Linked DNA regions of Drosophila melanogaster. The protein of the gene in region 1 interacts with the protein of each later gene in a pairwise test. Each region holds a gene or a part of one and is shown on either strand. Other genes may lie near its edges.

The links.
Region 2: the proteins of Ldaf1 (region 1) and CG4770 interact in a two-hybrid assay, tested with the Drosophila melanogaster proteins (one large-scale study listed by BioGRID).

What each region holds. Positions count from the first base shown.
Region 1 is NC_004354.4:1,900,199-1,903,975, reverse strand, and holds Ldaf1 (lipid droplet assembly factor 1), read left to right. Parts: upstream 1-2,064; 5' UTR 2,065-2,173; coding exon 2,174-2,263; intron 2,264-2,361; coding exon 2,362-2,539; intron 2,540-2,698; coding exon 2,699-2,911; exon of another isoform or gene 2,912-2,962; coding exon 2,963-3,210; 3' UTR 3,211-3,277; downstream 3,278-3,777. Other genes in the region: CG32801 (uncharacterized protein), read left to right, coding at 1,189-1,354, 1,514-1,824.
Region 2 is NT_033777.3:19,916,877-19,921,300, reverse strand, and holds CG4770 (uncharacterized protein), read right to left. Parts: upstream 2,795-4,424; 5' UTR 2,770-2,794; coding exon 2,697-2,769; intron 2,642-2,696; coding exon 2,417-2,641; intron 2,353-2,416; coding exon 2,285-2,352; intron 2,223-2,284; coding exon 2,127-2,222; intron 2,067-2,126; coding exon 1,612-2,066; intron 1,550-1,611; coding exon 1,272-1,549; intron 1,218-1,271; coding exon 1,007-1,217; intron 851-1,006; coding exon 784-850; 3' UTR 717-783; downstream 1-716. Other genes in the region: CG4465 (uncharacterized protein), read left to right, coding at 3,523-4,255, 4,311-4,424.

The DNA.
Region 1 (3,777 bases):
ATGTTTACCAGCGATTTTTTAAAGCTCAGTTAAGATATGATAATAGAACTTCCAAAAATATGTATAGCTAAAGAACCTTAAGTGGTCCTACTTGTGCCGACAATTAATTTAATTAGCATATGAACCCGCAACTCTTGAGGTTTTCTCAATACCTTACCAAGGCTTAAACAAATTTATATCTGTAATAATAATGGTTCGAGTGCTTGTGTGCGTGTAAACTATTTGCGATGACTGTTGTTGGCTGTATTGTAATTAAATTGATTTATTTCCGTATTTATGTATTCAATTAGATTCGATTAGGCTAAAATTTACGACGAATCGAGAGAGTTGCACAACCCGAAGCAAATGTTGAGAATCGCGGCGGCCAAGTGCCGGATGTGGTGGCCACCTGCTCCTCTGCCTCTAGATAATTTTGTGGCTGCGATTGTTTGGACACGCAAAGGCAATCGCTCGAATGGGTTTATTTTCGGATATTGCTGTTTACTTCAGGGATTTGGGTTTTGGGCTTGTACTAAATTACGCCAACGACATGAATGGAGCCAGCCCTTGGGTGCTGGAAGCAGTGATGCGAAGGTATAGTAAGCTCCTATTGTTTACAATGTAGTAGTTAGCCTTAAAATAGGCGAGATAAGTTCCAGTTCCAACCAATCGATGACTTTCGCCTTCGGTACACTTGGTTATACTTCAACCAATTCCAATCTTGAATATAACCAGTGATCCGTCTCATCACTGGCTGACGTCCTTTTACTTTCTCTTGAGCCAATCGCATACATCGCGGACAGCCCACAGCACCTGCTGGGGAAATTCGCCCGACAGGCGCCTCTGACGTTGGTGAAACTGTGATTGTGGGTCACACCACTGCCATCGACACCCCCGGGAGTTGGGAGCAGCAACTCCTTGGGCCCCGTGGGCTGCGTCGTGGGGATGCGTGTACAGTATTGGTAACGTTGCCTGCCATGCAGCAACAATAGGAAAACTTTAATGAGTACAAGTTGCTGCCAAAACGAAAAGACAGCCAGGCAGGCAGTGAGCGGCAGGCAAGGGGATTGTGGGGGGTAGGTGTCCTTGATGCAGCGCAGTCCGCAGCCAGTCAAACGAACCGAGCACGCCACGCGTTGCGGACGGATTGCCTGGATTTCCGTAAACAGAGCTCTCCTTCGGGGCTCAAAATAGTAGACGTGCAGGAGCATGAAACCGGGACTCGAAACCACCGACGAGGTCGAGGAGAATGGCGACGCACTGGATCATCGCGAGGGGGATCCCCGACCGCTGCCCTACGACTTCGAAAAGGAGCTGATCCATAGATCTAACCGGCACATCCGACTTTACGAAACCTTTGTTCCAGTGAGCCAAGGTATGCTAGAGATTTCTGGTTAGCTCGGTATATCATGTTTGAGGACAAGCTTGTTGCATCGTAGCGCTCCTGTAAAAATAAAACTTTAATCATTGAAAGTTTTACAATAGTTTACAAAATTGTTCACTACTGCTAATAATATCTTCTCCTGCCTTCCAGTTCATCCGCTAACACGGAAGTTCTACGCCCAGTATGAGCAACGCCAGCCGACGGATACCTTGAGGTACCTACGGCACACTTGGCCTGAGAAGCATGTGGAGCGTCAGAGGCAGCTCGGAAAAGCTGTTCCGCTCCTGGAGTCGCAGGTGTACGGCTGGTTGCCGCTCAAAAGTGGAGAGCGAGCCGCCGATCTGAACTTTCTGCATGCCAAGAAGGTGCGCTGCGGCATGACTGTTCACGGGGAGCGCTTGGTGGCGGAGAGGATTACGGCGCGTCCTCCGTTTAACGGACTCAGATTCCTGCTTCACTAATCCTACGGCGAAGAAATGTCGCACGCTGACCGCCATTATAAATTTATAATTTTTTTTTTAACATAGTGTTAATTTTTTTTTTGTAAACAAATTAATTATGATTAAAAAGCAAAACTAAGCCACGCTAGATCATTATTAAGAAACGCATCTTGTCTAATTCAAATTTAGTAAAAAAAAAGGTGGCAGCTCTCCCTCGATGATTTAGTTTCAGGGCTACGACGTCGATTATTTTTTGTTTATTTATATTGTTTTCATTTACTGTTGCTTCAAGCAGGCGAATGAACCTGGAACAGACTCCTCCTGTAATGCGCACAGCAACCGCCTGAGATTCTCGCAGTAGCCACGCAACATGGTGGGTACGGGTGTGAGTGAAGTGGGTGTTCCGGCATCTTCGGAAGAATCCGTAGATTTCGGCTGGAATCGGCATCGCAAGTCAAAGGTCGCGTTTCACGGACTCAGTGGCAGCCGGCATCTAATCACTTGGGTTCTTTGACTCACATAATATTCATAACTGATTTGATTTGATCGACTCTGCAGGCTCACTCGAACAAGGCTCGCAAAGCAGCCAAAGAGGCAAACGCCAAGAAGTCTGCGGGATCGGGAACAGAGAGCAAACCGGAGCACGTAAAGATACATGGCCCAGGCGATCGTAGTGCAGGAGTTCTGACTGGCGACCAGTTCCTGGAGAGCTTGCTCCAGACTCTCTACAGGTCATGTATGTCCACTAGTTGAAGTACTATCTGTAAAAGCGCTTAATTGCTTACTGCCACAATTAGTTACTTATATATGTACTACTCTGTACGGTTGTTAACCTGTTTTATGCATCACACCGCGTAACAAAAGTTGCCTTTGTTATAACGTTGCCATATTGCAGGGCTTCAAATCTGCCGCCTGGCAGATTTTGTGATGTCCGAGCTAGGTGGAAATGATTTCCTGGAGGCCACCGCGGCCTGGTGCACCCGGAATCCGCACGTTGCTATCTGCCTGCTAGCTGGTGGTCTTGTATTCATGCTGCCCTTCCTTATAATATTTGGGTTTGGAATAGCCACCATGGTTATGACCTTTACAGGTTTGCTGGTGCTAGAAGGTGCGTTCCGTAGTGTTTACCAGAGATCACGTTCTTATCGACTCGTTTTAGGCACACTCCTGACCATTGTGTCCATGGTGTTCTTCGCCTGCCTGGGAGGACTAGTCATAATGGTACCTCTCTTCGGTGTCGCCGCTGTTGCTGCCTATTTCGGATTTGCCCAGGTGTATGGCCTATGTGATGGAATAGAGATCCATAAGAGCGCGTGGGTCATGTTCTTTAGGGATCAACGGAAGGCCGGCGATCCGCCGCCAGCTGCTGTGACCATAACCGATGAACCCACTTCTACGACTGCATAAACCAATATTGCTTGCCCAACTTAAATATGTATTAAGAAATTAAAGACCAGTGTTTGAATACTTTTGGAAATTTAAAAAGTGCGCTTTCTATTTTGAAGCAAGTTGGCAGCCACCTGCGATAGAGGAGTTATCGGTTATCTGTTCTGCGCTCATATACACAGTTTTCATAGTCGGGGATTTTTGTCGAATTTAAATATCTAAGTGCGTCAAAAGTGCGTTAACCTGCCTTTGAGCAGATAAATTTACTTTCGAAGCGGTAAGTAATAGTAAAGTCATAGATATTTCTTTAATTCGTCGCCCAAAAACAATAGTTTTTGGTCGTACCTGTGTTGTCATACACCCTCATGTACACTCAGGTGCTTGTGTTGGTAAATGTTTATACAAGATAAACGGTGAGTTCGAGATAACATGATAACATGAACTAGAAATAAATTCGCCTTAGCTAAATTATAAATATTGTGAATTGAGTTTCTTAAGGATGAAATGCTATACAAATTTCGTGAGATTTTTGTGTTCTCAGAACAAAAAAAATTTGAAAAATTCCTTTGGCCTATCGCACAGGGCCCA
Region 2 (4,424 bases), on another chromosome or scaffold:
TGACAGTGACAATGCTAAAACGTGGATGAAATTTTATTTTGCCTTTTCGATTTGGTGGATCAACATTTGTAAGAATTCCTTGATGGCTATCTTCTGGACTACGAGATTACAAGAGTAAGCTTCGAATTAATGAGGTCCTTTCCAAGACGTAGTAATTCAAGTTTGTAAGAATTCCTTGATGATTTTGATCCCGAGCTTATAAAAATTTTAGTTTAGGAATATTGGAACCAATGAGAACTATGGGAAGACATCGACAACCCCAGGCGAATGGACGGCATCCTGCAGCATCCCAATGAGCAAGAATATACATAATTCGAATCATCACGGAACATATGATGAAATGGATTCCCTTAAGGTGGCGGTATGCTGCTGAGTGACCAAAGAAGTTCATTGCTAACCAATGGCGAGAAACTTTGACCCCATTACGAGAACACAATCCTTGATCACCTCATTGTATAAATCGTTTCCCTGACAGGTGCCTTCACCGACTCCCGCTAGAACAGATTATACACTGCCTATGGTGTATACTTTGTGTTAGCGGGTGTCGGAGAAGCCACCAGTCAGGGAACGATTTATACAATGAGATGGGCAAGATCTTAAATAGTGATTCCGCTCTTATGGATGGCATTTGACCATTAAAAAGAAAGTTATACTCAAAATCTAAGCGCATAAAAGAGAACTAGTGAGACTGGAACTTATATTATAAATAAATATTTAAAACAACTCCTTTTACACTCATTATTAATTTACCTGCTTATCGCTAAACACTCAAAATCTACTTGACTAAAATGAAATATAGACAAGCATCATGTAGAACATCAAATGCAGAAATATCCAGAACCAATAAATCCTGTAAGAAATTAAATACTTTAATGTAATTTTTTTGAGTCCAAAGATGCTTTACAATATGGAACGGGACTCTCCTTATCCCCATAAAAGGAAAATTTGAACAACAATCCTATTCTGAGCTGGATACTAAGACGGAAATAATAAACGAACGACTCACCTGGTCACCATAAACTTGTTTGAGTCAACGGTGAACTTCTCGCGGTGCAGGTACTTGTTGATCCCAATCATGTGACGCCGCACATACTCGTCATAGTCCATCTCCTCCAGATTCCAGTAGAGAGTGGGATATGTACCATTCTCAATCATTTCCTTGAAATAGAAACGGCTCTTGTTCTTGAAGATCCACTCGTTCAGCGAAAAAAAGCTACCTGTGGGCAGTTCAATGAACGATTGCATTTGCTAAAGATGTTTCATAAAGATACCTGCTAGGCAAGCCTGTCGGAATTTCTTGGCAATTGGTGTCACCAGTCGCTTCTTTTGGGCCAACAGCAGGGTTTGCAGATCCATTAGCAAGGCGGGCACAAAGTGAAGAACCCATACAGCCAACTCGTGGTTAAAAGCACTGCACCTATACTTGAAGTTGGGAAACATAATCATCCGCCGGGTGGGATAGATACGAGACCACTTCATTGTTAGCTCGCCAAGATGCTGCCAGGTGATGGGATTGGTCACTCCGGAAGTGGCGTTACAGATGCTCAAGCTTTGGAATATCAGCATGAGAACTAACATGATAAGTATAAGGAGTATTTATTATCCACTTACCTTCCCAATTTCGCCTTGCCGACCATCATGATCATGGCATTGACCACAAAGTCCACTGGGATGATGTCACATATAAGATCCTTGTTCCCTAGGATGCTGCTGATGCCGCCCTTGCCAATTTCCATCATAATACCGCTGATGGCCTGGATATTGTCAATCCATCCGGGATAGGGCTCCCTGTACGCAGCAGTGACTATCGAAGGCCTCACTATCACTATGGGAATCACATCCTTGTATGCATTAACAATCTGCTCGGCAATGGATTTGGTGAAGGTGTAGGTGTTGACATGCGGACCCTTTATATAATCGGCCAGGCGATTCAGATAGTCGTCGGGTATTTTCTGGGTGGCAGAAAGAAACTGTCGCCAATCTACCGGCGGCATGGTGGGGTACACTTGCTCATCAACATACTTGCGACCCGGATTGCAGTAGGCCGTCGAGACGTACAGAAAACTCTAGAGATTTTACCCATTACTTAGCAGTAAAGATAAACTCTACGGACTGGAGCTCCTTACCCTTAGATAAGGCATCTGCCTGCAGAGCTCTAGAAGATTGTAGGTGGCCTGTGAATTTACGCGAGCCGACACTTTTAGACACTCATTGAATCGTACCTGGAATTTGATGAATCAAACAATCAGTGTGAAAAATCTTGGGGAATCCCCCTCGGACTCACTGTTGCTGCACTGTGGAAAATAATGTTGACCTCGGCACACAACACCGATCTGTCGGACTCATTTAAACCTGTTGGTGGAAAAGTCTGGTGAAGTCATGAGTTTTCATTTAAAGTTTCTCTGAAAAGCCATACCTAAGTTGTCGTCCTCAATGTTGCCAGAGAAGTGAAAGATTTTCTTCAGCTGCGTTGGATGCTCCGATTTTATGCGTTCGAAAATGGGATTCTGAAGGAATCCGCGAAATCGTTCCTCTACTGTGACTCCGCCCTTAGGTCGGATGAGCATGTAGATCCGCTTGATCTGCGGAAAACTCCAGAGCAGCTTCTCCAGCAGCGACTTGCCCACAAAGCCAGTTGCTCCTATTAAAGTTAACCATCTTTGAACAGTCTCTTTTGGAGATCGCGTCTGTATTACCCGTTATGAAGACCACAGCATCTTGGTAAATATCCGTCTGGTGCTCCACAGTACTCACTTCGGCGTTGTCCATGGTGTGGCCACTTTGAAGCCACGATAGCTACTGATCCGGTGAGCTACTCACTTTCAACGCCTAACTGGCTTGGCAAAAGAAATGCCTTGGTCCTCCCGAAACAAGTTTTTCGTGAAAATGCAAGTGGAACATGCAATTGGCCAACGAAAATAGCAACTCAGACGTAACATTTGAGCACAAACATATTACATCATATTTCGATGGGGATGTGGACAACACTAGACCTTCGTTAATGATCATTGAAGAAGTCATGAAGTGGGAGTCCATACCATTGGCTAAGAGTTCTAGGCCATTTTCAATAATTCAAAAGCCATGAACTTGAAAACTCCGGAGTAGATAAGTATTATATCTATTATATAAAATATGGCGATACCATTAAATTAAATGTATCCACAGCTGCGAAGCTTTCCAATCAGTTCGAATTCCGATGTTGTTTACCTGTCCAATTCATTAGCTTCAATCATGTCAATTGCCCGCCACCGCGATCGGATTCCCCGGCTAGATCCTCCCATAAATCCGTAAGATCGCCGCGAAAATAGATCGCAACTTGTCGGCCAAAATGTTTGCACAATCGGTTAGGAACGTTGCTCCGCTTATTTGGAATGATTTGATTAGCGACGACGTCGTAGGCAGGCACCGCAAACCGGAGCCCTCGAGTTTACCTGCCCAGGTGAGGTGCTAAGCGAAGTCGCAGTCATGCTGGAGGGTCGGCACTCCCAAGACGTGGTAACTAAATTTGGCAGCTAACTAAGAATGAAGAAGGATAATCTTTATCGAGGCTGGATGCCCAATATACGCCGAAACTCACCTGCTCCTTTGGACTTGGGCCACATGGCGCATAGCTTCACCTGCACCGATCCGAAGGCCAACGAGGTATCTCCTCAAACTCCACACCCGAAAGCAAATAATCTAGCAGATGACAACGATGACGATGTCATCACACACATCATGGGGAACTTTGGGCCCTGGCAACTGCGCTCCCTGCTCATCCTATTTCTCTGCAAGATTCCAGCCGCCTGGTTCATGGCCTGCATCCTGTTCACAGCGCCGGATCTGTACCCCGAGGAGGAGTACAAGTGTGATACGACGGCTTTCGGGCCGGATGTCAACTCCACCGTCTCGCTGGACCACTGCTATGTGATGGTTAACTACGGAGAGTCCGCCTACGCCATGCGCCAGTGTCGAAAGTTCCTCTACACCACGGGTTTCCACTCCCTGACCATGGAGTTCGATTTGGTGTGTCTGTGCGACTTCTTTGTGGCCTGGTCTCAGTACTGGCACCTCTTTGGCCTCCTAATCGGTGGCGTGGCGGCCACCAAGTTGATGCGGGTCCTGAGTCCCCGACAGATTTATAGAACTGGCATCTGGTGCCTGCTCATGTGCAGCCTACTGATGGGTCTTGTCAAAGACTTCAGTCTGCACTGTGGACTCCGATGCCTGGCTGCTGTTTCGTGCTGTTTTATGATCACCTCGGGGCAGTATATATGTAAGTAAAATTGAATATTTAAGAATACTTTAATATTAAATAACCTACTTTTCAGTTGGTGACATAACAGCGGGAAAATATCGCGTAGGAACCCTCATACTTTACGACTGCTTCTGGGCTCTGGGCTTGATTCTGCTCCCTGGCTTGGCCTCCAATGCTCCCAGCTGGC